3 linked regions of the Tamandua tetradactyla genome follow. The protein of the gene in region 2 interacts with the protein of the main gene of each other region in a pairwise test. Links are inferred from orthologs where the notes say so. Each region holds a gene or a part of one and is shown on either strand. Other genes may lie near its edges. The genes, in order: IL1A, HAX1 and SAV1.

Region 1 (7,756 bases), on a different chromosome or scaffold from region 2:
ACTGGAGGGAGAGTGATTTCTACTTCTCCTTGCATCTTCCAACTTTTAGAAGGAATGTGTGTTATTATTCAGATGTAATGTTAGAAACAGGACTCATGGGAAGCTTGTAGGGTGAAGGCGACGAGAACACACATGGCTTTCGATCAGGTGGCGCGGGAGGGATGTGCAACCCCGCTGCTCGGCTCGGGACAGCCCTTCGTTTCCTCCATGTGACCTTCAACTCTCGGGCTTCAGGGAGTCAGAGGTCCTGCCGGGCGCTGGACAGATGGCTAGGGACGCAGGCTCCCCCTAATGAGAGCAGCAGCAGCAACACTGATTGTATGCCTACTGTATACCGGGTGATATTCTGGCCGGAACTGGGGAGTCCTGACGCTTGGGACCGGCACAGCTCTCCGGTGAGGCCGGACCCTGAGTTCTCCACTTCCGAGCAGAGGAAACTGAGGCTCAGGAGGACTGGGGGACTGCCCAAGGAGGACAGCTGGGAAGTAGAGGAGCTTGGCTTGGAGGTGGTCGCCAGGCAACAGTACGCACTGCCTTCTCCCTGAGGGCTGAAGGTCCTTTACAAACCTCCAGGTAACAGGCCTGGGGACAAGCATTCCAGCCCGCCCCGCGCAGAGGGATTAAGATTGATTTCCCTTCCTGCGGGTGTGTCCAGTGCCCGCTGCCCTCCTGCTTCTCTGATTCCAGGTTTTCTCCCCCCTCCGCCGCAGTGCCCGTTCGCTTGAGAGTGGCCGAGTGGGGACGGGGCTCCCTCACCTGCCTCCAGCTCTGTGGTGGGGGCCTCCAGGCCATCGACCCTGCCCTCCACACTCAGGCTCCTTCGCCTCTTCTTCAGGACCTTTCCTCGGGCTGTCACCACCACCACACTCTCCTCCAAGGCCAGCTCGGGTCTCGCAGGGGCTGCAGGGGCACTCAGAGGCCAGCATTTATCCACGTGGCCCTCAGGACGCGCGCCATAGCTCGCTTCATAGAAGGATCTCTGGGGACGGGACAGGAAGCTGCAAGGCTGCCGTGGGAGCAGAGGGCACCCTTCAGTCGCCCTCTCCTGTGCTTCCCTCCCCCTGACCCCTCTCCCCCACCGCCCTCCCCCCTGCCCTCCCTCCTCCCCTCCTCCTCCCTCCCTCCTTCTTTCCCTCCTCCAGGATTTCCTTGAAAGGATGTGCTCTCCTAGGAAGACTTTGCCTTTCATGGGCTAAGCCGAAAATGAGGAGCTACACCCTGGGCGAGCACCAGCCTGAGCATAGCCTCGTGCTAGCTCCTCCCTGAGGCTAAGCTCTGAGGAGTTTAGGGCTCCCCTGTGGAAGCAGCTTTGAAGCCCGCCCTGAAGACAGGCATAGCCTGGCAGTGACTGCACGTCCCTCTGCCCGGGGTCTCGCTTCCTTCGCTGTGGGACGGGCTGCCTCTCGACCTGGGCGGGTGCCAGTGAGGACACCTGTCCTTCTCGGGCCGTGTGGCCGGGGGGCCTGTGAGGCCGGGCCGGGGGACTCTGGCCTTGGGGTTTCGGGACCGTCCTGTCCAGTTCTGCAAGCTGGTTAGGGGTCTCAGACACCCTGGGAGGCCGGCCCGGACTCGCCATCGCTGCTCCCGCCTGGGCACGCCGTCCCGACACCTCGGCCGCCGTCTTACCTGGTCCAGGGCGCCGCCGCCGCTGCCGGGCCCACAGCCGCCATCCTCACTGTCAAAACAGGACGCGGGGATGTAGCTGTTTGTTTCCTCTCTGTGGTCGCCAGGCAACGTGCCCTCACGACTGCGCCAGCTCTGCCATCACACCCTTGGCACTTGCCATCATGTTTGAAAATTAAGGGCCTCTGTGCACAGTCACCGCCAGCGAGGTGGGGCTCGCCCACCTGGGATGAGCAGGACCGGGCGTGGACTCTAGCTGAGCTTTATCTGTGGAAGCACGGCTCTGCTCACGTGCTAAAGCCTTGTGACTGAATTTCAGAGTAACATGGTAAGCACTTCAAAAGGGGACTTTCGAAGCACCTCTGTTTTTGTTTTAACCAAGCAGACCACGTGTCACACATTGTTTTCATGTATTCACTAAGACAGATTTAATCGTTTATACTTGGCAGAAGCCTCCAAGCACCATCTGGAAGTCCAGCCTGCATTACTATATATCACACTTAGGGTCGTGCTGTGTTGGTTTAAGAGTTTATGCATTGAACATCTGTCCTGTCTGTCGAGGCTGGGCTGTGAGCCAGTTCCCATTTGGAGTGGGATCAGAAAGCTTTCCTGAAACGGTTTCTCTCTCCATCAGTCCACGAACGCCCGTGTCCCCGTGTCACGTGGCCTCGACCGGGCCTGTGTGCGAGTGGATGTGACATGCATGGGGTGGGACAGACCTCAGACACTGGTTTTCTAAACTGGTTTCGCATGCTGGTCTCTGCCGAAGCCCCCTGACCTCACAGATAGCAGAAAACTCTTTCGGCCTCCCCAGGCCTGGCCCCCTGCGCCCCCCCCACCAGCTGGGGCCAGCAAGCCCCCAGCAGCCCCCGTGGAACCTGAGGCAGGATCTGTTACCGGTAGCAGCTCTTCAGGTCTTCAAACAGGTCAGGGACTCGGGCCATCTCGGTGTTGCTGGCAGGAACGGTCTCTGAGCAGGGGGCCTGCAGAGCAAACGACCCCCTCTTGCTTCTGGGGGAGCGGGCCCCAGAGGCCACCCTCAGCGTCTCCCCCTTCCTCCCGTCCACTCCTCCACTCTGACTTTATACCATCTGCCGCCCCCATGGAACTGTAACCCTCTTCTAGACTCTGCCTCAGGTCTGGCATGGCACACAGTGGTCTGATAGGTCAAAGACCACCAGCGCCAGCGCCTGCCCTGGAGAGATGCCAGGCAGCGGCAGGGCCGGGAATTTCCGGTGCCCTCCAGAGGGCAGGCACGGTGCCCGCCAGCGCCCCTGAGGGAGCCGGCTCCCCGTCTCAGGACGACACAGGTTCCTCTGAGACCTGACTGGCCCCAGCTCACCCAGCCAGGGGAAGGGAGGGCCAGGGAGACGTCAGAGAAGGAAGTTGGAAGGAAAGCAGCAAGGGGGAAAAGGCGTCCAGCAGCCCCCGTGCCGGAGGGACGACGGTACCTGTGTTGGCTGTGCTGAAATGACTGCCTCTGTGGCCGGCAGCCAGGGCCCTGCCTATTGTACTGTCCTGAGTAGGCGTGGCCGCGAGGACGTCATGGGGAATTTACAGGAAAGAATTCTGTTTCTGCAGCTCTGGAATTTGCTCAACTTGATACTGGACAAAATAATGACTTGCTAGATAATTTTGCCAAATTGTTTTCAGAGATTCCAGGACTGAACTGACTTGGTTTGTTTATTTATTGCTTTGCTGTTTATAATCACAGACCTGTAGTTGTGGAAAAAGGGAGAAGAGCAGGAAATGACAAGTTTGTAAAAACTATGGTGGGGAGGAAGGGTGGAATCCCGAGATCAGGATCACGGGTGGCTAGAGTTGGGGGAGTGTTTTGTGGCTTGGTCTGTGTTTGGAGTTTGTGTGCATGCACGTATACGCATGCGTTTGTCTGTGCATGTGTGCATATGTGTTCATGCATGTGTGCATATGTGCGCATGCGTTTGTGTGCGTGTGCATGTGTGTGGACATGTGTTTGTGTGTGCGTGCACATGCGTTTGTGTGTGCATGTGTGTTCGTGCACGTGTGCATATGTGTGTGCACATGCATTTGGTGAGTGTGCATATGCGTGTGTGTGCGAGCCCAGGGCTGGTGAGGGTGCCCAGGACTGCGGGGGGCAGCATAGTGGCCGCAGCGTCCCCGGGACCCCCAGGCCGTGACTGCGCCTGAGGCCGGTGTGGCCGCTGGGGCAGCCTCCAGGGCTGTGGACCCCGAGGGGCTGGGGAGAGCTGTCCTGGTGGAGGGCTGTCCCCGTGGCCTGAGACCACCAGGCTGCCCAGCAGATGAGCGTGTCCAGTTCCCCAGGGGAGTCTGAGCCACATCAACTTGAAATAAAGGAAGCAGAGGGAAGAGGAGGAGAGCGAAGAGGAGAAGAAGCCGCATGGCATGAAAGCGACGCAGCCAAGAATGGGTGCAAAGTGGTGCATGCGGGCGGCGCCGTCTCTTCCAGCCGCCGCTGGGTGGGACTGTGGGGAGGCCGTACGGCCTGACCTACCAGCCCCGGCGTCCGCACCTGCTGGCCGTCGACGTGTCATGATCGTCATGAACAAGATCTTGGAGCCACCCGCATACGGAGGACCAGCTGGGCCTCGGGAGGGCGGGCGCAGCTGGCCGAGCACCCCTAGGGTGTGGTCCTGTCCAGCCCCTGCTTTGGGAAATGTAAGGCCGGGGCTGGGGGACCTGTGCGAGGTGCCCAGGGTGCGAGGGTGGCCATGGGGACACAGCTAAACGCAAATCGTCAGTGCCGCCTGTAGCCCCCGTGGCCAGTGCAGTCTATACCCTGAGGACAGCCTGCGGCCGCACCACCCGCAAGCTCAGCAGGGAGAAAGCAGCCGCAGGGCCCTGGCACTGCCTCCCGCACATGGCTGTGGAAACTGTTTTGGAAGAGGGACTGGTGAGCCAGGTGCTGAGAGGGGCGGGCCCTACTGTCGCTTTCGGGGCCGAAGTCCCAGAAGGGCGGCTGGGAGCCAGCCTTGCGGCCCGAGCAGGTCCCATGTGGGCAGCCGTGTCCGGGTGCTGCAGCGCCCTGTCCCTGGGGTCCTCACCCATGTGGGAGCAGGACTCGCTCTCACATTCTACAGATGAGGACATGGGATGCTGGAGGGACCAATAATCTGCCCACAGCTGTGAGGTCGGCGCGTCGCCCCGGCGGGCTCGGACACCGCAGCCCTTCTGTCCCTCGCTGTGGCCTCTGCCCTTCCTTTGCTTTTTACATTTCTTTTCAGTTCTTCTGCTTTCCTCGGTGCCCCACTGAAGGCCTGCGATTCTACGTGGGAGAAGCGTGCCCCTGCGAGACATCCGCGCCAAACTCTCACTTATATAAAAGACGTGGAGTGGAAGGTGTTGCCTTGGTCACGTGGACAATTTATATGCGCCAGGAACTGAAATTCACACCCACTGCCTCCTATTTCTCACTCAGAATACCCTACGGCTAGAGGCACCTGCTCGTCACAGCCTCTCTGTGCTCCTGCCTGTGGATGAACAGGACCGAAGCCCCAGGGAGCGGGCGGCCGCCCCCCACCTGGCCCATGACCCTGTGGACACCTGTGCAGGGAGATGGGCCAGTGGGGGGAGGGGCGCGGCCCTGGGGGGGCGGGGTGTCCAGGCTAGGGGGAGGGGCTTCCAGGTAGGGGAGGGGCTTCCAGGCCAGGGGAGGGGCGTCCAGGCCAGTAAGGGGGGGAGGGCGGGTGGGGCAGCTTGGGGCCAGGGCTGCGTGGTGCGGGGTCCGGGGTTGCGGGGTCCAGTTTCTGTGCAGCTGTCTGGGCGGTGCTGGTGGGAGGACGCAGGACCCCAGACCGCCTGCAGGGTGGGGTGGGGGTGGCGCGCTCTGATCCCCACCCATGGGCCCGCCGGGTGGTGCGTGTCTGGGTCAGAGCGCCCCGGGAGCACTGCCGGGCAGAGGGCACAGCGGGCAGCATGGGCCACGCTGCCTTCCTGCTGACTCCTGTAGGTTGCTTCACCAGAAACGGGCTTTAGCAATTCCTCTCCTTTTGAGTCATTTCCCTCTTTGGAGTCACAGTTATCCATGAGCTGAACTTGTTTCTCAAGTTCAGAGAAGAACCTGTCTTACTTTTTGGATTCTAAAACAAGTCTTCAGGTGCTGTTGAGGAGATACGAAATATGTAAAGAGGATGATGTGCTTCTTTTCGGGGCATATATATAGATTTATTTCTCTGGGCCTTTAGGTTTTGGCTTTCCCGAAATCCAGGGAGCAGGTGGACGGTAGAGGCCCTGCGCCCCACTCCATGAGCCCCCTCCTCACTGGCAGTCAGGCAAGAGGAGCCAAGAGGCCCCAAGGTCTCCGCCTGTGCACCGAGGCGTCCGTCCTCCTCTGGGGCTCCGCATGGCCGCCCGACGCCTTCCCTTCCCCTGGAAGAGTCCGGGCTGGGGATCTGGGTATGCCCCCATGTCCCTCCCCACACGCGTCCCTGGATGGAGCTGGCGATGGTAGCTTTCCCTTGGCAGAGCCTTCACCCCCTGGATGGTGAGCTTTCCGGTAAGACAGATCACAGCCTAATCAGCTGCTTTCATCTCGGCCAAATCTTGACTCCAGTATGATCTGGGAGAATAAAACGGCTGCCACACCGTCGGTGCGAGGGAGTCACTACTTCAGGTTGAAATGTCACCACAACGCTGCACCCGGGTGTGTGTACAGGACCCGATGCGCTTCAAAGCACTTGTTATGTGTCCGTGGGAAGCCTGGCATGAGGCTGGAGGCCGTGCAGGGGCTGAGCCTCACACGGGGGGTTCGCACTGTCCTCCCCCAGCAGGGGTGGTTGCAGCACGAGGCCTGGAGGGGAGCTGTGACGGGAGGAGTGTGGCCACGGCGGTGGCCGGCTGCCCGCGGCCTCCAGGCTGCCTGCAGCCTCCAGGCCTGGCTCTGTGGGCTCCAGAATGCCCGTGGCCTCCAGGCTGCCCGTGGCCTCCAGGCTGCCTGCGGTCTCCAGGCTGCCCGTGGCCTCCAGGCTGCCCGTGGCCTCCAGACTGCCCGCGGTCTCCAGGCTGCCCGCGGCCTCCAGGCTGCCCGCGGCCTCCAGGCTGCCCGTGGCCTCCAGCCTGCCTGTGGCCTCCAGGCTGCCTGCGGTCTCCAGGCTGCCCGTGGCCTCCAGGCTGCCTGCGGTCTCCAGCCTGCCCGTGGCCTCCAGCCTGCCCGTGGCCTCCAGGCTGCTCGCGGTCTCCAGACTGACTGTGGCCTCCAGGCTGCCCGTGGCCTCCAGGCTGCCTGCGGTCTCCAGCCTGCCCGTGGCCTCCAGGCTGCCCTCGGTCTCCAGGCTGCCCGTGGCCTCCAGGCTGCCCGTGGCCTCCAGGCTGCCTGCGGTCTCCAGGCTGCCCGTGGCCTCCAGGCTGCCCGCGGTCTCCAGGCTGCCCGTGGCCTCCAGCCTGCCCATGGCCTCCAGGCTGCCCGCGGTCTCCAGACTGACCGTGGCCTCCAAGCCTGTCCGTGGCCTCCAGGCTGCCTGCGGTCTCCAGGCTGCCCGCGGTCTCCAGCCTGCCCGTGGCCTCCAGACTGACCGTGGCCTCCAGGCTGCCCGTGGCCTCCAGGCTGCCCGCGGTCTCCAGCCTGCCCGTGGCCTCCAGGCTGCCCGCGGTCTCCAGGCTGCCCGTGGCCTCCAGGCTGCCCGTGGCCTCCAGGCTGCCCGCGGTCTCCAGGCTGCCCGTGGCCTCCAGGCTGCCCGTGGCCTCCAGCCTGCCCGTGGCCTCCAGGCTGCCCGTGGCACATCTGGGCTCCCTCCTTGTGCCTGCTTTGGGGAATCTCCCTGTTGTACACAGAGCTGTCGCTGGCGGATGTGTGGTTAACTCTTTCTGTTCTTCTTCATTACTTCAGTGGCAAATTTGATTTGTCATTGAGTATAAATAGAAATAAATTCCTTTCCAAGTACAGAAATATGTAACAGTTGTTGATAAATCAGAAGGGAATGACCGTTTTTTACCCCATCTTCTGAGTGATTATGACTCAGCCTCGCTTTCTAGAAAGGTTGGTACGCACGAAGACGGCTGGGCCTTGTTAGTATGCAAGAAAAGGAAGTTTAGGTTTTTTCTGAGTCTGAAAGTTTGGGCAAGCATTGAAGCGTTTTGATAAGAAAATGAACATCCAAGGGGAAGAAGTAGGAGCCTAGCTTTCCCTCTCCTGCAC
Region 2 (7,324 bases):
AACCTCTAATTTCCTTTGTGCCTCTGCAAATTTGCTATTTTTAGACATCTCTTGTGACATCATATAATATTTGCCCTTATGTGTCATGTTTATTTCACTGCGCATGTTTTCAAGGTCCTTCCACGTTGCAGCATTTCTCAGAACTTCATTCTGTCCTACGGCAGAATAATAGTACAACGCAGTGTACATGTAACATTTTGTTTACTCATTGATGGACTAAAAACTTTTTAAAGGAGAAAAATATCTATTACTGTTTGTGCTCATTATATTTTTCTCTAACACACAATAAGGAGGTTGCAAGTCAAGATAATTTGGGAAGTCCTAGGTGTGCTAGAAAGTAAGACAACCTCCACAAAACAAAGCCAAGGATCTAGCACAAATAAAGGTTTTATTGGTCAGTCTGGGTGAGAAGTATACTGACATAACCCCAATTCACTGTTCCACAACCCCCAGCCCTCTGTATGGCAGGAGAAGCTCAGCCCATTATTGGTGAGCAACAGGTGGGATGTAGTAAGGAAAGAAGGCCTCTGAGGGTTACAAGGCTACCGGAACCGGAACCAACGTCCAAGGAATAAATCCAAGATGGAAGAAGCATCATCTAGGGCTGGAGGTCCTGGCAATTCTGGAAGAATACATACACACAGATAGGCTAAGTGAGCGAGTCCGTGCAGGGGCAACGGAGAGGAACACCATTAAAGGGCAGGAGAACAAGGGTTTCCCTTACCCGGGGAATTAAGAGATGAACCTCTTGATTCATGCACTTCACTTACCATATCTAGGACTGCCGTCTCCTTCTTGATGGGTTACTGTGGTCTTGGACCGGCCCTCACTGTCTACCACAGTCCGGCGCTCCTCCACTGTCTACAAGGAGTCCCCCAACACCCCTCATGTCACTAAAAGTGAGTTCAGTAGTTTCTTTACACAAATTCCTGTCTCCAGAGCATCCTCTGGACACAGTTTCCCTCTACCCCTCTCTCCCAACTCACCCCGTCTGGCTTAGTGATCTTGGTCACAGAGAAGCTCTTGAAGTATGATTTTGGCTGGGGTTGCAGAACTGGGCCAAGGCCCTCCTGGGAAACCTGCGAATCAAGATCTGAAAAAACAGAGATGAAGAAACAGGGGAAAAGAGTCCGAGGGAAAGAAGAGTAGAAGTACAGCAATAAGTTCAGAAGGGACAACAGAGAGAACTCTGAGACAACAAGAGAGGGCTGGTCAATGCCTCCTCCCTCCAGACTCACCATTGTCCTCTTTGGCTCTAGGATGTGGGGTCACAGGCCACATATTATCAAACTGTGGAAGAAGTCACAGTAGGTGAAAAGACACCTTTCTACCTAAAATTTGAAGGATCATGGCCCTAAACTACTCCAAAGTTCTAAAACCATCTTTCCCAGGAGAAAGAATTCCATTCAGGCTAGCTCGATTTACCCACCCCCCCTCCTTCCTAGCTTTCTTTTATGTAACCCTCTACCAAGAAGCTTTCCTGAACTGACACTTTCTGATCCTCCTCCCACAATCTTGCCTTATCCAGTAATTACCTGGACTGATTATTTAAAAAAAATTTTTTTTAAGAGACAGAACTTCCATTCCCTGCCCCCCCTCCACGAAAAAAAATTCTTATAAGAAATTCAATATACAAAACAGATAAGCACACTCAGTGGAGAGCCCAGAATTCCAACCCAAATCTATCAGTTTCCAACAAAGATTCCAGTCTTTGCACTCTACTTAAAGTCTTTCACAGGCTCTCACTTCAAGTCTAGATGTGGTACTCACCCTATGAAAAGGTCTCTGGAATCCCCAGTCTGGTGTTGATTTGGGGGATTCAGTTCCTGCGCCACTCTCCAAGACCCCCCCTAAAATCCTGGACTGGTGACTATCTGGATACTTAAGCATTGAGTCCCGAAGCGTCTCTCCCCCCTGCCATCTCTCACCATGGGTCTCTGACTCAGGACCTGGAAGTTCTGCAGAAAGGTGACAGATCAATGCTGGGCAGGTGAAAGGACGTGGGCTCTTTAAACTTCCTGAAGTTATCTTCTCACACTTCTCATCCCCCAGCTACTCCCTGAACGTTTCTTACATTGCCCACCAACCCACTAGAACCCATGAGTTCTCCCTTAGGAGTATTCACACACCAGGAGAGCGGGAAGGCAAGGTCCAGGCCCCCATTTCGCTGAAGATGCTATTGAAATCCCGTATTAGGTCATTAAAGCCGAAGTTATCATGGAAACGTATTCCTCCTCCTGGGCTGAAGCCAAAGCCAAATTCCTCAGGGGGATGGGGAACCCCAAACCTGGAGCTTCCATGGCTCCAAGTGTCTCCTCCTTCTTCCTCTTCCTCATCATCCTCATCTTCATCTCGGGTCATCCCGCCAAAAAAGGGATCTCTGTGGCTGGGGGTGGAGGTAGATTGGCCAGCAAGATTTTAGTATCATCAAGTGTTTAGCCTTTAATCAACTCATGGGTGGCAAAGTAGGGCAAGAAGGATCTGGTAGGTTGGGGAGAGGGCTGGCTGTCAAACCAAAACATGACAGCTGACAGTTTTTGTTTTTTAGTTTTTATCAAAGTCAGTCCTCAATCTCGCGGCTCTCCCCAAGCCCTCACTGCCTTTTCTCCAGTGTTCCCCAGACCCTCCCCTCTCTCCCAAGGTCCTGCTCACTGGCTCCTTGTCTTTACTTCTAGACCTCCACTGTCTTCCCCGCTCGGACCCCTGTTGCATCACCCCAGGTTGGAAAAAGAAGTGCTGTTTCTTCTCCTCTTAACGACCGCCTTGATTACTGTCGTGGGGTGAGTGCTGTATGCTGCGACTTTCGTCCTCTCAGCAGGAATGGGAAGAGGGTTTTTCCAAAAGGTTGGGTGTTAGGAGTCAAGCTCGCCTCAGAAGAATCCCCTTATCCGACCCGACCCACTCTCACCTCCGAGGTCCAGAAAATCCGAAAATGCCCCGGAACAGGTCAAAGACACTCATTCCCGCTTAAGAATACAAGCCTTGAACACCCGCCGGCAGCTCATTACACCGGGATCCAGCCGCACTACGCTACCGGAAAGCGAGTCAGACCAGGCTGCCAGAAAGCAAACCTGTGGCCCGGGCATGTTGTCGTAAAAGGGCGATAAAGGACGTAAAACGACGTGGACGAGAAGGCGGGGCGGACAGCCGATCCTCCTCAATCTCAAAAGGCTTTCCCTTGATCATCTTTCACAGACAAGTTTGAAGGTAGTGGACATATTTTCCCCCCAATTATCCAATTCCGGAATTATCCTATTTCGAATTTTTATTTTCCAATTATCATCTCCCTTCTAAGCTGTATCTTCTTTCCGCTTACCAGCCCAGTCCAAAAAGATGCTTCGAGAGTTTGATTGGATTTTATTTGGATAAAGCCGCCAGAGGGCAGCGCAAACGCCCAAATTGAACCTATGTGCGCATGTCCCTCACCCCTGGCTCACCACATCCAGAAGCCACCTCAGTCCTTCAACCTATTTTTTTACTGACCTGGGTTGTCTAATATAGTGGGTAGATAAAAGGTTTTATCAAGCCCCTTCTCGCATCGAATTACCCACAATTAAATAGATAAAAGGCATAAGGATACATAGATTTATAATTTCTCAATTCCACCAACCACCAGGGAATGTTATAAAATATTAATTTTCTGAAATAGGCTCCGAAGCCAGCAGAATACAGGATTCGTAAAAGAACACTGGAAGGAAAGGTAGTGAAGGAGTAAAGAAAGAATTTGAGGTTTTAAGTATTCTCTTTTTCATATCATAGACTACTTTCAGAGCCTGTCTTCATCCCTCACTCCAACCTCCACCCCCTGCCTTGTTCTGGGTTCCTTTTCAGGGGACTGGGTATAGCTATGCAACACCAAAGCACTCAAGAAGGAAGAATTACTATGTTCTTCCCTTAACGGTAATGGACCCAAAGCTTAAGTTCTGAAAGCCAACAGTACATGTTACCCTCACTTCTTTCAGTTTGCTTGGACCCCTGCATATTTTGACCCCACAAAGTCATTCCTTTGAAACAGTCTCAGCTCCTCCTTACGTCTTTCCCTCATCACCCAATCTCCTCTATTCCTCTCCCTCACTGCTTGAAATCTGTTGTAGATGTATCAGTTTCTGGAGGGAATGAAAAGTTGTGGTGCTTCTTTCCAGGCACCAGGCTGTAAGACTCTTAAGGATTAAAGGAAGGGAACCCCGCAAGGGCAAGACACTAGCACATTAAGGTCAGAGAAGGGCGAAGATTTCATTTTATTCCACTGCCTTTGAGGGCCTGCTAGAGAAGGCCGAGTTGGTACAGTAACACTTATTCACCAAGCTGGTCATCGACGAGACTGAGGATATCCTAGACGGAGCAAGAATGGGCAGAGGCTGAAGGTAGAGGTTTTCTTTTTATATATACAAGACACATTAATCCATTAAATTTGAGGACACAGTACAAAAAAAAAAACAAAAAAAAAAAAAACAAAAAAAAACACTTCAACGAATTCATCTGACAATGCTGTTCATATTCATGACGCCGTTTTTTTTTTGTTGTTGTTGTTTTGTTTTCCTAATAATAAAGGAGGAGACTTAGGGCTGTTGGGCTGATATATATTTGGGGGTCCCACCTCCCCATCTCACCCACACACCACCAGGGTGAACAGGAGGAGGAGAAGGAAGGGCAGGGCCCACAGCAGAGTTTCATAATCTTGAATGCATGGGGTAGTGGGGAAGAGGAGGAAGAGGAAAGGAAGGAGAAAAAAAAAAAAAAGGAAAAAATACAAATCCTATAATACATACAACAGGGTGGGGATGGTATGGGAATGGGACAGACATGAAGCTGAGGCATGGGGAGCTCCGCTGGGGGTGGGGGGCAGCAGAATCCCCCAACATTCCTTTTTCTCTTTGATGCTGTTTCCATAGTTGCCAGGCTGAGAAGCCCTCTCAGAAGATGGGGCCAGGAGAAGAGGGTCAGGGCCTCAGTTGGCCCCCCAGCTGTAGCTGTTGTAGGCAGACTTGTTGGTCTGGGGCTTCTGCGGGATGGAGCTGGTCTGGCTACGTTGCCCGCTGCCCGTCTGCAGGGGAATGGGAGGATCATGGGGAGGAAAAAGGTGTCTAGTTAGTGGGACAAGTCTGTGAGATCTTCACATGGAGATGTGGAAGTTGTCTTACGCTCCCATTCCCCTTGCTTAGAGGCTACTCTGAAGCCCAACCATGGAAAGTTCTGATCCTCCGAGTGGTTAGATCCCCTCTCTGACCAGCACAAAGGCACTTTCAGCCTTTAAATAGTGAAAAGATGAAAAGAGGGCAAGATACCTTTGGAAATGAGATGGTGAATCAGTTCTACTTATTTTCAATACCACCTCCCTCATCCCATCAGCCGCCCCTGCTCTGGGAAAAGGCTACTCTTTTCTACAGAGAATTACAGCCTCTCGGAGATGAATGATCACTAGTTGATTTCATTTACACTGATCTCCTCCATGAATGCCTCTATTTGGAAAGCTGTCTATGGAGGCAAGAAAGCCCCTAATCTAGCTCCTCAATCACCTACAATGGAGGAGAGGTCTTTTACACCATCCCACAGCTCCCCATCCCTACCATAAGTCACATCTGTGAGCCCTTCCCTTTTCAGGCAAGGTAGGAAAGAGAGTCTGAAGTCTCAGGGCTCTAGATGCTGACCCAAGAATCCTTTCCATTCCAGTAATCAAGTGTATACCAGAACTGGATCAGGGTGTAGAAGAAAAAGAGGGTGCTGAGGGAGGAAAGGAAAGAGGAAGGGGAGGCCAGAGAGCTCAGCAAGGTGTTTGTGTTTGTGTATCCCGATTTGTGACCGCGCAATCTCTTTTCTCTTCAAGTTCCCTGAGGTTGCAAAGATGAAATGGGGACTGAAAGGGAGTGGGTTCAAGCATATTATCATTCAGTTTCATTACCTGCTCCTCCTGCTGGCGCTGGCAACAGAGAATCATCTGCAAATATGGTAGCTGAGGCAGAACCAGGATATATGGAAAATAAAGGGACAAACTTTGACAATAGAACTCTACCATTAGAAGGGAAAGCTATAATGTTGGGGCAAGGGGGAAGGCTGGGAGAGGTAGGAGGGGAGGTGTGACCCAGGTCTGATGGGATGAGGACAATTGTGCCATGGGAGGAGGTAGAGAAAGGCACCAATGGAACTGAACAAAAAAGGTTTCAATCTGGCCCCTTCTCTGACATCTCCTTTGCCGGCCGCTTGTGTTATGTGCGCTTGAGTCTGTATGTGCTGTGTGCCCATGGCTGGCGCTGGGGAGGGACTGGGTGAAGGTGGTGGTGAGGAAGGGTAAGAGAAGGAAAGGGGAGGCAGTTTTAAGGGATAGGAAGGAAAAGGAAGGGAAAGGAGTAAGGGGGAAGGGTTATTACCTGGCCATCCTGCTGCAGGTGATGGTGAAGGATCTGGGAGTGTGGCTGCTGATGGGGGGTCAGAATGTGCATAAAGGGGGCAGGTGGGTAGGCAGCAGCTGTGGCCGGGTTGATGGGCCCCCCACTTCCTAGGGCTGAAGGCAAGTTGAAGGAGGCAGCAGGAGTACCGGAATGAAAACCTTGTTTCTCAAAGGACTGCTATCCAGGAGAATGGAGGAGAGAGAGTAAAAGGGATCAGCAAATTTATGCTTGGAATCTCTAAGCCCAAGCTCCCCAACCCCAAGAAAGCAGCATTCATGTTATACAAGGAACAATGCATCTGAAATCAAAGTCCCAGCTCTGCCCTTAATAGCAGCATGATTCCTGGGCAAATTACTCAATTTCGCAAAACATAAAATGAGGATGCTATTGGTCTACTAAAGTTTTGGTTGTAAGGTTCAAATGAGGATGGAAGTAAAAACATTTCTCAAAATCTAATGCTCTATATGAACATAATGAAATGTACTGACTGCTTTTAACAACTCCACCTCTGCAGTTGGGTAAAATTAGAATTCCTGTTAATATTTCAAAATGAGTACAAACTGAGGTGTTTTAAGTATTGAGGGTCTTGGCCATGAAGCTCTCCCCTAAACCCCTATTACTTTATATCAATCTTTTAATATTTATGATGATGGGGAATAAAAAGCAATACAAATAAGACCACCTGTGGATAACTCTAATGCCTCGTTCTTTAATTACTGAGTTGTCTTCTTCCCCACTCTTTAGTTTTATTATTTACTCACAAAGAATGGGATGAAATAGTTTCCTTTCATTCCATACTCATTCTCTCAGAAAGTTATGAGAAGGGTTGGGAGAATAGGAAAGTAAAGGAAAGGGCAAGAACAGTTGCAGACCCTCGCCGTTCAGCATACAAAAAAAAATTAAAAATTAAAAACTTTAATTAAATCTAAATATAATTT
Region 3 (7,107 bases), on a different chromosome or scaffold from region 2:
AGCAATAACTTTTTGCAAGCTGGTTTAAAAAGTCTGGGGAAATGAAAACGTATTTCACTAGGAATATTTGTTAGCTTCCCAAAAAAATCTCAGAAAAGAGTATCTTTCGAATTAAAGTGTCAGTGCTCTACAAATAAACTAATGTAATATTTCTAATTTTCAGTCACCTGAAGTATGCCTCCCCTGATTCTGTGACATCCTTTGGAAGAGATCATGATTGTATTCGAAGTATCTGTAGTCTTCACGCACACGATCTCCAAAAGGCCGCCTTCTCTGACCATCAAAAAAGTTATCTGAATAATAATATCGGGAACCAGAGTCTCCATTTTCAACAGCAAAATTAACTTCAGTTAAAAATGACTGAGAAGAGCCATATTCCCTAGGGACATCTGCTAGACTCCTGGCAAGAAAAGACGGTGCAGACAATCTGTTGCTTTCTCTTCTTATTACTTCATGAGGTGTTCTCTGAATTGGAGTTCTAAGGAAACTCTGGTTTCTTGAAACTACTCCATCTCCAGAGGCTGCAAAAGCATTAGGGCTTGAATCTGGAAGACAGATGTCAGTTCGTCTTGGAATTGTTGGACCATGCCGGATGAATGAAGGCATGAGATCTATAATAAAACAAAGAATAAAATGACCATTTCAACAAATAATAAATACACTTTTCAAAAGTTGTCAGGTTACACCTACCACCCCTAAAATGCAAAGTTTCAATGAACTTAAGAGAACATCTCTTAAATTTTTTATTTAAAATAGTACCTGGATAGTTTAAGATTAAGGCTAATTAACATTTCCCCACCCAAATGGATTGATACTGTATACGAAGGTACTATATGTAAGCTCAGCCAGAATCAAATACATTCTGTGTACCACCATACATATATAACATGGAAAAATGCCAACAAACTTAAATATAAAATGCATACTTAATGAAATAACTCATGAATAAATGTGTAAAACAGGAAACATCTATGTAGTTACCAGCAAAATTATGTAAGATTATAGTTTGTTTTGGTATTTTTCACTTCATTTTAGAAATTGCTAAAATTCCTTCTTCAAGCAAACATTTCTAAGATAAAACAAAACATAATGCTACTCCAAAAATATGTGAAGTTGGATACCTTTACAAAAAAAAAATTGAACTTATTAATCCAGTCTTCTTACTCTTGGAATTACCTAGAACTAGGAGAGTAATCAAAAGCTAGAAAGCCAAAGTTTTTGATATGAAGATTTTTTTAAAAAGGCTCATTCCAAAGAAGTACACGAATGTTTAATCAGTTTAAATTCACCAAGCCTAAATTTATGGCTCCTCTAAGAACCAAGCAATTGAAGAAGATAATAGAACAATGGCTTTTCCAGATACTTCTTAGTACAGAACTTGAAAACAGTTCAGATATTCCCAGATAGAAAGCAAAAACTGTTAATACACGAAGAAAATGAGATTTGTGGCCATTATGTAAACTTATTAGAGGGCATTCATATTAACGGTTTCAGAGAGAAAGAAGTCAATGCCCAAATAAGTAAGGATAAACACTTCATGAAACTAAAACACAAAATACTATAGTAAAAGCTTTTATTTGCCAAAAAGTGTGGCAAAGATATTTTGGAGCTTCAAGTAATGCTTAGTAAACTATGTGCAGCAAACTGCAAACTATCATTTAAGACCTTGGCCAAAAACCTAAGAGCACGTGCACTGTACAGCAAGCTATAAAAAAGGTTTTACAAATGAGCCTCGGGCAGCTGATGCCCCCAGGGGACTTGCTCTGCTCTATGGGAAAGCCCTTCCAGCACGACAACGAACCCAGAAGGCTGCGGCGTGGCTGCAGGGGAAGCCTGCTGTCTGGCCTGCTGTCTGGCCCACCGTGCGCTGCGGACCGGGCACGAGCCAGCCGCGCCCGAGGGACCCCGCGCTCGCGGGAAGGAAACGCGAGGGCTCGGCGCACTGCGGGAGCAGCACGGCACCAGCTCCTACATCACGCCGTCCTCCACGCCCACTCGGAAGCCAGAGTCACACGGCGACAGACAGATCCTACTCCAGTCTAAACGACTTCTTGGTACTTTCCCTAGAACAGGATGGAAGTCGTTTTAAGCTACTTTGCCTCCCTGGAATCTGAAAAGGGTTGTTAAATGGGTGGTGTAAACCGTCACACACACACAGGATTTGTGGGTGCTCTCACATACATACACACACACACACACACACACACACAGGGTCCGTGTGTGCTCTCTCTCTCTCACACACACACACACGGTCCGTGGATACTCTCTTTCTCACACACACACACACACACACGGTCCGTGGATACTCTCTCACACACACACACACAGGATTCGTGGGTGCTCACACACACACACACACACACACACAGGGTCCGTGTGTGCTCTCTCACACACATACACAGGATTTGTGGGTGCTCTCACACAGACACACGGCCCGTGGGTGCTCTCTCTCACACACTCACACACACACACACACACACACACACACACACACACACACACACACGGCCCGTGGTGCCAGCGGAGGGGCCTGGGAGCGGCTGCTCTGCGCCCCTCTGCACAGGCGGCGGCGCCCGGACAGTAGCCGACCGGGCGCCTCTCCGCGTCTCTCCGCGTCTCCAGACCAGGAAAAGGCGCGTCCCGGACTTCGGCGCCCACAACGCCCGAGCGCTCCGGAAGCGTGGGCAGGACCTTCGCCGCGGCCAGGAGCGCTATTTCAGGGACTCTCCCGAAGGAACAACCAACCAAGTTTCCTGCTCTTTTATCCCTTAGCGATTTTCAAACAACCGGCATTCCATGCACCAAAAAGTTACGAAGGCGGAAGGCACCAAGGCCAGACGCGCGCCCGCGGGGCCGCGACACTCACTCCGCAGCAGGGGCGACGTCTCCTTCTTGACGTACTTGCCCTGCACCTCCGCCGGCTTGGACGCTTCGCTTTTAGTTTTCTTTCGGGACAGCATCCCTCCAGCCGAGGCCCGAGGCCGCGCCACGCGGCCCGCCCAGAGCCCGGCGCCGGGTCCTCTCCGCAGCCCGGGGCGCCCGCGGGGCGGGCCGCATGGCCAGGCGCTACGCGCGCCGCCCGCCGCCCAGCCGCGCCCCAGCCGCCTCCCGGAAGTCCGCCCGCGCCGCCGCGCTGACCGCAAGCACGAGAGGCCGGCAGAGCCGGGCCCGGGCCATGGACCCGCACCAGTGTCCGCCGCCGCCTAGTGACCGCCGCTGGGAACTCTGGGAAACCCGCCGCTGGGGCCTCTGGGAAACCCGCCGCTGGGAACTCTGGGAAACCCGCCGCCCGCCTGGGACCCACCCCAGCTCCCGCCTCCCGGGGCGTCGGCGCTGGCCCTCGGCTGACCGCGCGGCTCCGGGGCGGAGGGGCGGCCGCTGTGGTTTCCGCAGCGAGACTGCAGGGGACTGGGGCCGAAGGGGGCCGGCCAGTGTCCTACCTGACCGCGCGCCGCACGGAGCCCCTCCCCACCGCTGCCCCCAGGACCCCTGCACGCCCGCCGGCCTGGGATCGGGTGACTAGCCCGGGCCCTGGGACACCGTCGGGCGGCGCTGCGCGAGGACCTGGAGCCTCCTGACCGAGACGAGTGGTCCGTTAGACGCTGGCCGGCCGGGACGGGCCGCGGGGCCGCCGAGTGCGCCGGCCGTGCAGGAAGGACGAAGGGCGACGCTTTCGCACCTCGCGTTCACGGCAGTGTTGAGTCTGTACGTGTGTAGTCGCACACTGGTGGGAAACAGTCACGTACTTCCTCGTGGAATTAGCTAGTTCCGTCCTCGGGTTTTGAGGGCTTTGAACGCCAGAGATGAGGGTTTGGGATTTTCCGTTTAAAAGCGTGGACTACACTTCGCTGTTACTGACCGGGAACTGCCAAAGGTACAGGATCGTGAGCAAATAAGATAGGATCTATCCCCAGGTGAACTAAAGAGGCCTGTTTTTTTACACTTTTTTATTGTGAAATACACATACATAAAAGCAATAAAATTCCAAGTACATTTTAACAAGTACTTACGCAACAGATTTTAAGTTTGATGTAGGTTACGGTTCCACAATTTTTCATTTTTACTTCCAGCTGCTCCAAGACACTGGAGACCAACGGAAATATCAGTATGATTCAGCAGTCATCTGTGTTAAATCCTATCTTTGTTATGTTCCTCTCCTTTAAACAACATTTATGCATAAAAGCAAAGTACATCACAACACTTAGTTGTAGAACAGATTTCAGAGTTTGGATTGGGTTACAATTCCACAACTTTAGGTTTTTACTTTTAGGTCCTCTAAGGTACTGGAAGCTCAAATAAATATCAGTGTCATGATTGAGCAGTCACGCTCATTTGTTAAACCCGACCTTCTCTGTGCAACTCCACCATCACCTTTGGTCCTTCTCCACTCTAGGGGTGTCTGGGCTATGCCCATTCTAACTTTTCATGTTGGACGGGGCTGTTGATGACATGGGAGGGGCGATAGAACTAGCTGATATTCTGCAGAGGCTGGGCTTACCTGGACCAGGCACCCATCTGGAGGCTGTAGGTTTTGGAAAGTCACCCTAGTGTATGGAAGCTTTGTAGGATCTTATATAAAGCCCTAGGTGTTCTTTACGGTTGGCAGGAATGGTTTTGTTTGGGGTTTGGCAAGTTATGATAGGTAGCAATGTCTAACTTCAGTTTAAGTAAGAGTGACTTTCCATGTACCGCTTGACTCTATTTGAACTCTCTCAGCCACTGATACCTTATTTGCTACACTTCTTTTCACCCTTTATGTCAGGATGGCATTGTTGATCCCACGGTGCCAGGGCCAGGCTCATCCCTGGGTAAATTAGACTTTTAATAATAGAGAATGCTTTCCTTGAGATCTGAAACTTATTTCACAAGAGATACAAAATTTATGCCACAATTAACAAAAGGTATGGAATTTTCTACTGCACCAGATTAAGACGATGATCAAATTGTGTTTTGCCATGAAAAAACATTTTATCTAGTGTCTACTTCCATCTTTGCATGATGCTTTTATGCCCTCTTAGTACAGATCTCCTGCTATTCATTGAGTAACCCACAAATATTTAGTGAGCACCCACTTCTAGGTGCTATTCTAGATCCTTGGGGTGTATCAATGGATGAAACAGACAAAAATCCCTACTGTGCTGGGGAAGATACGATAAAGATAATATGCAAAACAGAATGTTAGTGATAAGAGCTGAGGTGGAAAGCCAGGAAGAGGGTTTGCAATTTTAGGCACTGACGGAGTGACTGGAAAAGGCATCGTGAGACAGGAACATGGGGAACCAGCCATGCAGCTGTCTGGAGGGAGAATATTCCAGGTAGAAAACACAGCCAAGGCATCGCTGCAGGTGGCCAAATTCCTGGCAGATTGAAGGACAGTAAGGAGGTCGGTGCAGCAGGCACAGAGGGATGTAGGGGAGAGTACAAGGGATTGAAATTAGAGCCTTGACGGCCCTTGACTTTGAGCAGATATGTGGCTTCATCCGACCTGATGTTCTGAATAGGATCACTTTGGGTGCTGTTAAGAATAGACTTAGGAAAAGGGCAAAGAGGAGACACCGGTCCGAAGCTATTGCTGGCTTGGACCAGAGTAATAGCAGTGGAAATAAGTGGTCAGATTTTGAACATCTTTTCAAGGCAGAGCCAACGAGGTTGCTGGCATTGAATTGGAACACGAGGAAAAGAGAGAAATCAAGGATCACTCCCATGGGAATGTAAATTTTAACGCTAGAACAGAACAGACCTCAAAAGAAGCAGTTTAGGGTGGGCCAAGGTGGCTCAGCAGGGAAGAATCCTCGCCTGCCATGCCAGAGGACCTGGGTTTGATTCCCGGTCCCTGCCCATGTTAAAAAAAAAAGAAGCAGTTTGTACTTTTAGAGGAACATTAGAAAAGCAGTCACTTCTTCCTGTTCAGAAGTAAGGACTGGTACTAAAGTGTTGGTAGGGTGGGTGGAGAAGAGTGATGAAACATAAATGAAAAAACAATGGGGTTTTCTTACAGATTGGGTATGGAGGAGAAAGTGGTGCCAAAAGTGCTAGTCTTCGGCACAGGGCCTACTTACCTTGGAAGGATGAGAGAAAAAAAGGATATTAGGGTCTTGTTAATAACGTCAATTTTTCCCACCTGGGTTTTCCCAGAGCCTGAAGTAGAGGATACTTTCCACATTCATGGGGGAAAGAAATCGCTGAATTTTATAACTGGAAAGGAATTTTGAGATTAGCTAGGCTAACCTCATTTTATAGATGTAGAAACAAAACTAGAAAAATGGTTTGCCTCAGATCACATTCCTGGTTTACAGCAGATTAGTATCAGAAATATTTTCTTTTCCCATTCTGAGCCTTTCTCTGCTGCAGCATATTAAAAATCCCAGTAATATAATCCAGACTGTTTCTAATACGGTTGTTTCTGAAGGCCATCCATATTCCCTACAAAGTATTCCCTTTTTCAGTGCAATTTCAATTCTTTGAATTACAAAGAAAAAAAATCTGTTAGGTACTCTCTTTAAGACTTATAATTTGACTTTTTATCAAAGAGGGTGCATGCCAGAATCAACAGTCTGCAGGCAGCATCAGCAGTAGCAATGCATAGCAAATATCTGAACTTTGAATCCAGAGGCTTTGAATTCACATGTTTTCCAGAAATTCCTGGAATTCTGAAATTTTTCATTAAGGAATCCAGATTTTGCAGCTTTAATTCTCCAAACACAATGCTAATACTGTATTACATAATAGAAATATTTTTCCCCTTTCATTTGCATTCTCAGTGGAGAAAATAGACAATTAGTGAGTTAACAACTATTTTTGATTAGTATAACATTAAACAAACCTGGGCTAACCTTATAGCTCTCTGGGTCTTAGTTTTCTCATCTGAAAATGAAGAAATTGGACTACTGCATTTCCAAAGTGTTTTTCATTCCTAAAGTTCTGTGCTAAAATGGGCAGAAGGAAATATGCAAAAATATATATATTTTTTAATAATGGTGCCTCATATCTGCACTTACCATATTCTAGGGCGCTAAGCACGTAACAGAAACCTAATGAAGTCGAAGTATCAGTTAGCTGTTGCCACCATAATGCTGTATAACAAATCATCCCTGTGGCTTAAACTCA

Evidence for each region.
Region 1: the proteins of HAX1 (region 2) and IL1A interact in binary tests that used the Homo sapiens proteins (3 or more experiments, as listed by UniProt). The link is inferred for Tamandua tetradactyla from reciprocal best matches to the Homo sapiens genes HAX1 and IL1A.
Region 3: the proteins of HAX1 (region 2) and SAV1 interact in binary tests that used the Homo sapiens proteins (3 or more experiments, as listed by UniProt). The link is inferred for Tamandua tetradactyla from reciprocal best matches to the Homo sapiens genes HAX1 and SAV1.

What each region holds. Positions count from the first base shown.
Region 1 is NC_135343.1:337,711-345,466, reverse strand, and holds the start of IL1A (interleukin-1 alpha), read right to left. Parts: upstream 3,093-7,756; 5' UTR 3,075-3,092; intron 2,607-3,074; 5' UTR 2,568-2,606; coding exon 2,521-2,567; intron 1,676-2,520; coding exon 1,627-1,675; intron 980-1,626; coding exon 757-979; intron 1-756. UniProt on the Homo sapiens protein: Cytokine constitutively present intracellularly in nearly all resting non-hematopoietic cells that plays an important role in inflammation and bridges the innate and adaptive immune systems.
Region 2 is NC_135330.1:7,218,745-7,226,068, reverse strand, and holds HAX1 (HCLS1-associated protein X-1), read right to left. Parts: upstream 3,074-7,324; 5' UTR 2,962-3,073; coding exon 2,909-2,961; intron 2,387-2,908; coding exon 2,130-2,386; intron 1,959-2,129; coding exon 1,771-1,958; intron 1,291-1,770; coding exon 1,239-1,290; intron 1,094-1,238; coding exon 987-1,093; intron 862-986; coding exon 771-861; intron 623-770; coding exon 543-622; 3' UTR 370-542; downstream 1-369. Other genes in the region: UBAP2L (ubiquitin-associated protein 2-like), read right to left, coding at 4,949-5,044, 5,900-5,950, 6,366-6,563. UniProt on the Homo sapiens protein: Recruits the Arp2/3 complex to the cell cortex and regulates reorganization of the cortical actin cytoskeleton via its interaction with KCNC3 and the Arp2/3 complex. Slows down the rate of inactivation of KCNC3 channels. Promotes GNA13-mediated cell migration.
Region 3 is NC_135340.1:1,699,730-1,706,836, reverse strand, and holds the start of SAV1 (protein salvador homolog 1), read right to left. Parts: upstream 3,029-7,107; 5' UTR 2,961-3,028; coding exon 2,867-2,960; intron 612-2,866; coding exon 168-611; intron 1-167. UniProt on the Homo sapiens protein: Regulator of STK3/MST2 and STK4/MST1 in the Hippo signaling pathway which plays a pivotal role in organ size control and tumor suppression by restricting proliferation and promoting apoptosis.